2 linked regions of the Xenopus tropicalis genome follow. The protein of the gene in region 1 purifies or fractionates together with the protein of each later gene. This does not show direct contact. Links are inferred from orthologs where the notes say so. Each region holds a gene or a part of one and is shown on either strand. Other genes may lie near its edges.

Region 1 (3,655 bases):
AAGTTCCTTGACTGGATCATGATAGGAAACTGACCAGCAGTACATATTTCCTATTTAAGGTGGCCATACATGGGCAGATTTAAAGAAGAATGAAAGTTTAAATCACTGGCGGGGGGGGGGGGGGGGGGGGGGGCAAAAGTTATGCACCTTAGGTGGGCATATCAGGAGGGAGATCCGCTCATTCTGCGACCTCACCAAACATGCGGATCTTAACGTGTATGGCCAGCTATACAGAGCATAGTGGCAACTGCGTGTTCTCTACTTAATACACATTTTTTACTCACCTACAAATCAGTTACAGGTAATGAAATTCAATTCATATGTAACATAAGAGCTTGCACATGGAGCATGAGCACTAACACCCTGTGCCAGAGAGAGGCATGAGAAGGAGAGGGTGATTATTCAAGTAGCCTTCCCTTTCACTCCCACTTAGCTCTCTGGAGGAAATGAGTACATTCTATAAGTAATGAGTAAGTTCTATTTGTTGGATCTGCATGGAGCACAGTTATATACTGCATGCGTAATAATGATAAATGGATAAATAATATGAAAGTCACTGCTTATTGCTGATGTTAATACAAAAAAGTAAAAAAAAAAAAAAAATCATGTCACCTCTGTTGGCAGAGTTGAAACCTTGCACCAGCTTTGGGACATTCTCTGTGAAGAACCTTTGCCGGAACATGATGCGGATGTCTGCATGGCAGGCTTTATTAATGATATCCGGCGAGTCTGATACTAACAGGGAGAACATATTTGCCACTGAAGGACCCAGCTGCTTATCAGACAGTAAACCAATCATCTGTGGAATAGCAAATGGGGAAAAGTAGAAAGTGAAGGCCAAGGTCAACTGATTTTTTTGCAACTGTTCGTGTAAAGGGCAGACAGGCAGAATGAAATGAGTGGCTATGAGTTTTAGAATTAAAGAAAAGCAGATTTTCCAGCACTGCTCTTTTTTCATTAAAATATGTAAAATATCACTTGCTGCCTTTATGATAGGAGATTTACTCATCTGCTTCCAAGTTCTTACCTTATTGGTTAGCTGCCCACTCAAAGGGTGGTATCTCAGTACCAAGGCTTTGGTTACCTACACGAGAAAGAAAGGTCAATGCTATTTCCTCCAGTGACATGTTCATGACTATTCACAGTTCATATACCAAAACATCACTGTTTAATTTAGCCTTACAAGGGTACAAAACCTTTGGCTATCAATAGTTCTGAACATCTAAAAGCCAAAGAGTTATATGTGTATAGCCAAGTGTTATATATTTCTGGGGCAAAACTAAAATAATAAAAAGAACATTGCTATTTTCCCTGTGTATTTGTAGTAAAGGTGCTAAGGAACAGAAATTAGCGACTGATTTAGCCCGTTTGGCCAAAGTAGCAGCCAAAGGTCCTCTGCATGGAGGGTACATTATAAATCAGTTTGAAAAATATCATTGCTCTGTTGATGGAGTATGCATTAGAATTCACTGTACAGCCCCCTGCTTGATGCCCAAATTAAGCATCTGCTCATTTTTTTTTTTACCGGGCTAAATGACAGATGAGTGTCCAGCCAATTAAGTGTTGTTCTTACCCAGACTAGGAGAGTAATGGCCCGAGTCCTGCTGGGTTCATCCACCAGCCCCACATCTATCCGTTGAGCTGTTACTAGAAGTATATCATCCAGCAGGTCCCCTAGTGGGAAAGGCACAAATGCACAGCTCAGTACAGAACTCATGCAGGTATATTCCGTGACACAATGACACAAGGGAAAGCAGGACTCACCTTGGGGACATTTATTGATTAGCCCAGCAAAGCATTTTGAGGCAGAGGAATATGCAAATGGTGAGCACCCTGAGAGACTCAATGATAACAAATGCTGCAGCAATCGTCTCAGATGTGGAATTTCCACCTGCCATTAAAATCAGGTATAATAATGTAAGAAGGTTGTACACCAAATTATTTCAGGCTGGAAAGAATTAAAATTAAGAATGGCTTCATCAATTCATAATATATCTACAAAAGATGACAATGGGGCACTTGGGAATGCAAAAAAATAATACTTTTTTTACGGGTGTGTTATAAGCCACTGTATTTTTGATATAAAGACTTATTTGATATAAAGTGGTATATCTTCTCATGAGCTTGAAAGGAACCACAGCACTAAACTGCATTATTAGGTGATGAAACATTCACCATCTTAAGCAAAAGGTGCATGTGAAGTTTTCTTGCGTTTTTTTCCCCTCAGGAAAAAAAGGTGAGAATATGGTTTTTAGTCATAAATGGCTTCATATTACAGCATGAAGTATGGCAAACTGCCTCACACAAAGCAACCAATCAGATTCCAACTTTGTATGTTCTACAAGTATTAGATTGATTAAAAGCTAATTGCTGATTGGAGGCTGTGGTTTACTACACTGAGGAAGTCCGACTGTGTCATTATCACATTGATTCCCATCACCATCAGGCTTAAAAAAACTAAGCGTAAACAACAACAAGGCTTATTTACCAGTGCATGAAGTGGCGCACTGAAAAACATCCACTTGCTTGATTTTTGAAAGACTGGTCTGTTTACACATAGCCACTAAACAGGTAACACACATCTGATTGGTTGCTATAGGTTACTAGACCAGCAATCAGCCAGCAGTTAGCATGTACTAGTGAGCTGCTTGAAAACACATATCCAAATATCTTTTATGAGTTACAGACCTTTCATTATATTACCCCGTTTGTTCCTTTAATTGCATTATCCCCTCTGTATCACAAGACACCAGTTATTAAACAGCTATGTCTTAAATCCATACCTGCAGGTCTAATGACAATAGCCTAGGTATAACTGCTGACTACCATCATTACCTGAATGGCTGTAATATTTCTCATCTATAACTCCCAGTTTCCTCAGGCAACAGACTGAGGCAGAGTATTCAGGGAATTTAATCTGTCAACTGCAATGAGCCTTGCAGGTCTGATATAATGTAAATATATGAATCTAAAGGAAAATATAATGTCTTAATAAGAAACACCATTATAAAGCTATAAACCTTACTAAGTGGCATTGCTAAACTGAGCAGAAGGATGGAGAACTCGCTGTTTAAAAAGTTTATTTCCCCGAAATGGGCCTGTTGGAAGCATTTTCCATACATAAAGTGAGTAAATCCCATATTCTGCAAATTAGCCTGCAAGGTATGCCCAGAATCCGGCAAAATGTAATTAAGGCTTTTTGTTTCATACTCACATTTCTTGGCAAGGAGCAAACAAATGCCATTAACAATGATACTAAGTGGTTCTGGAGCTCCGTGGGACCATTTACCTGCAAATAAGCACATGCTTAATTATATGATTATTGCTTATGGGCTCAGACAATGTTCTGTTCCTGCATTTTGTGTACTACAGATACAGCATTGTTGCTTATTGCGGACTATGACAAACATACAGAAACACAGATTCACAAGCCATATATAGAATAATGTCAGTCAAAAGGGGTGGTTACTAGTCCTTTCAGAATTCAGGGCACACATTTGTTTCTGCTCAACTCTCCATCACTGTCTCTGTCACTACTCAAATGGATCACTGTATTACAGACACTATATACTGCCCACTTTTATATCAGAGACTGCGGCACTGCAGCTAGCAACAACCATATCTTTACATTAAGAACAGTGGAAAAACTAAGACG
Region 2 (3,655 bases), about 7.3 Mb from region 1:
ACCATGTTTGGAGGAGAAATGGTGCTGCATATCACCACAAAAACACCATATCAACAGTGAAATTAGGAGGTGGGAACATCATGGTGTGGGGCTGTTTTTCAGTATATGGCACTGGCACACTTCATATAATTGAAGGAAGGATGAATGGAGAAATGCACTGGGACATTCTTGATAAGAATCTTCTGGCAACTACCAGCTGAAGATAAAACGAGGGTGGACATTTCAGCACGACATTGATCCCAAACACATAGTCAAGGAAACTCTCTATTGGTTTCAGAGAAAGAAAATAAAACAATTGCCCAGTCAATCTCTCGACTTGAATCCAATTGAAAATTTATGGAAAGAACTGAAGATCAGAGTTCATAGAAGAGGCCCTTGGAACATTCAGTATTTGAAGACAGTTGGGCAATGGCAATGGACAATGGGCAATAATCACACCTGAGCAATGCATGCGACTAGTTTTTCCAAACAGGAGGCGCCTTGAAGCTGACATTACTAACAAAGGCTTTTCTGCTACTTATTAAATACATTTCAGTAAGCATGTTCAATATTTATTCCCTGTGTCATTCCACTTTACTACACATAACTTAACTTATGGACTTATTTGTTTTGATTTCTCTGTATGTGTTGATTACTTTGGTTGTTACCTACATCTGGTGTAAAGTTTATGTCAATAGCCCTTTAGAAATATATTTACTGAGAAAATCGTGACATGTTCAATACTTATTTTCCCCGCTTGTATAGTTAATGTTCTCTGACACTGCATTTCTAGCCAAAGACTTCTTACAACCCACTCGTCAACTTGTCATTGTCATAATGTAAACAGTCAAGGCTTATTAAAGGCAGCAAAACTAACAATATTTTTAAACATCAATCATTGTTCCAGTGTTTGGAACAATTGACATTGTCCTAACCTAGTGAGATGAATGATTTGCTGAATAGCTATTAGATTACCTCAGTGCCCACAGGGGGAGAAAGAGTAATATAAATATATCCTCCCTATTCTTATTCTGCTAAATACAATGCTGAACCGGTATTTTTTTTTAACAGGGACTACATAGAAACCTTCTTCTCTCTTTTTTGTTTTTACCTCTGAAAAACAATCTACTTCCCAAGTCTACTTAAAACAAGTGGTTTTATTTTATGGATAATATATCATTGAATTGTCGCTGACCATGTTGATCTGCTGTTTAGTCAGATTATGGCACTAAGCAACAAGCTGGTGTATGAAGGCAGGCTGGAGTGTGCCTCTGATCGTGTATCTAACGCTGTGGTTAAGCTACCTCATATTAAGACGTTACTTCTGGAGCTGGAGTTCAGAGAGAGCCAGGAATCAATGTGGATTAAAGATGTATTGGAGCCAAGTAACCCTGTGTGCTTTCTGAATACAGAAAAAGTATGTATTCTCCCCCCTCTGGTGATTTAACATACACTTGTGTTATATCTGCAGACATGAGCCAAAGACATATGTAAGGGCCATTTGCACCAATGCTTTTTTTCCCACTTCTAGATTCCAGCCCTGGAAACTGAAGAGAAGGGTGGAATAAGCAACTGGATAGAAGCTAAATTGGTGTTCTGTTTGACAAAGCTGTTTCTAAAGGTCTGTTTTCTAGCTGCATTTTATATCACTGTTTATCACTGTGAAAATTACTTTGTGAGGGATGCCTAATTGCCTGGCATCCCCCAGTGATTACATTCATTGAGCTTGTTCCCCAGACAGTGCTTCTTTTCACATGTTTATACTCTTTGACAGTATTGCGTAAGCGTATGGTCCTGTACAGCTGAAGCCATTGGAAAGTGACCAAAGATGGTGTTGTGGCACTGCATAAAAGTAGGCCTGAGAAGGTTGAACCTGCTGCTCAGCCCTTATGGGCTACTGCTTGGGTAGTGCTTTGCAGTTATTGTTCAGTGTGGTGAAATCTGGTAGGGGTAAAAGCAGTGGAATAACTAGAAGTTACTGGTCCCCACAGCAAGCTTTTTTAGAGCCCCCCCCCCCCCCCCAATATCTGGGAATATAATTATGCTCCTAGCTGCTCCTGTCAATCACACACTTTGTAATTTTGTCATCTTTGTTATACAGTAGCTTCTCAATGTTTGTGACTGTGCTATACATATATTTTTAATTATTTGTTATCCTTCATATAGTGCTGGCTAGTTTGTGTGTCACTTTACAAAAAGGTTGTTCATTGGCATGTTATACATACTACATCGATTTGTGTGTCATCCTAATATCTGTTGTTTGTTTCTACAAAGGCTGGCTGCAGACCCTCAGACATTGGGATCATAGCACCATATCGTCAGCAACTTAAAGTTATCTCTAATTATTTCAACTCCTTGTCAGCGAGTGCCGTGGAAGTGAATACAGTAGATAAATATCAAGGGAGAGACAAAAGTGTCATCATTGTGTCTTTCGTTAGAAGCAATATTGATGGAAAAGTAAGCCTACATTTACATCTTAGAATATTTTAACCTTCTTTTTTATACCAGTTCAAGCAAGCTTGATAAGGAGATTTATTTCACTTACCGTTAAATCCATTTCTCTTTAGTCCTATGGGGGACACAGGGACCATGGGGTTAAGTCCCCTCCATCAGGAGCAAGACACTTAAAGGTGTGCTTTACCTTTAATTTAACTTTTAGTATGTTATAGAAGGACCAATTCTAAGCAACTTTTCAGTTGGTCTTCATTATTTATTTCTTACAGTTTTTTGATTATTTGTCTTTCCAGCTTTCAAATGGGGATCACTGACCTCAGCAGCCAAAAAACTATTGCTCTGTGAGGCTACAGTTGTATTGTTATTACTACTTTGTATAACTTTTTTTCTATTCAGTCCCTCCCCTGTTCATATATCAGTCTCTCATTCAAACCACTACCTGCTAAGGTAATTTGGACCCTAGCAACCAGATAAGTGTTATAAGTACAAACTGGAGAGTTGCTGAACAATTATTGAAAATAATTAAACTACAAATAATAAAAAATGAAGACCAATTGCAAATTGTCCCAGAATATTATATATAATATATATATCTACTTCATACTAAAAGTTAACTGAAAAGTGAATGACCCCTTAAAGGAATGTAACCCCTATAACCCTCTTCCCATTCCCAGGCACCTCAATTATCATGGAAAAGACAGAGCAAACACTGCTTCTAACAATCTTTTTTTTTTTTTAATTTCATTTTAAAACAAGAAGGAGGGGTAGCTTGAAGACCTGCACTAAGGTCTCAAGGGGTATCCATCACACTGTACCTTAATGACCTTCTGCTCAAGGCACCTTCTCTTCTAGCAGCTAAATTCCAGCCCTCCGTGTTCATGGACACTCTGTACACTCTGGTATGAACGTTCAATATGGCCAAATCTCGTCTAGTGCCTGCTTGGCGCATGATCTTCGATATGGAGCAGCAAAAGGTCCTTCCTTCCTTCAGAGAAGATCACCCGGATCCAACTTCATTACAATCAGGTCCTGGGGTCAATGGTGTCCTCCATCGAAGCAGTTCCCCAGGACTGGGGTACTGCAAGTGAGCAATCCAGCGTAGGGGGCTGACGCAAAAAGTCCAGCACAGGCTCCCTCAGGTACCACCCCGGATGTTCTCAAGCCATAAGTCTCCTGGAGACTGTTGTCCAACCTCCTGTTTGCGAGGACATTCAAAAAACTG

What was found. Proteins that work in one complex are often made in the same cells at the same time.
Region 2: the proteins of mms19 (region 1) and dna2 purify together in Homo sapiens (affinity purification with mass spectrometry; 3 studies listed by BioGRID and IntAct, counting the BioPlex papers as one, with this or other methods). This does not show direct contact. The link is inferred for Xenopus tropicalis from reciprocal best matches to the Homo sapiens genes MMS19 and DNA2.

What each region holds. Positions count from the first base shown.
Region 1 is NC_030683.2:33,013,519-33,017,173, forward strand, and holds part of mms19 (MMS19 nucleotide excision repair protein homolog), read right to left. Parts: intron 3,290-3,655; coding exon 3,215-3,289; intron 1,892-3,214; coding exon 1,765-1,891; intron 1,675-1,764; coding exon 1,574-1,674; intron 1,085-1,573; coding exon 1,028-1,084; intron 800-1,027; coding exon 613-799; intron 1-612. UniProt on the Homo sapiens protein: Key component of the cytosolic iron-sulfur protein assembly (CIA) complex, a multiprotein complex that mediates the incorporation of iron-sulfur cluster into apoproteins specifically involved in DNA metabolism and genomic integrity.
Region 2 is NC_030683.2:40,338,231-40,341,885, forward strand, and holds part of dna2 (DNA replication ATP-dependent helicase/nuclease DNA2), read left to right. Parts: intron 1-1,194; coding exon 1,195-1,396; intron 1,397-1,510; coding exon 1,511-1,600; intron 1,601-2,253; coding exon 2,254-2,436; intron 2,437-3,655. UniProt on the Homo sapiens protein: Key enzyme involved in DNA replication and DNA repair in nucleus and mitochondrion.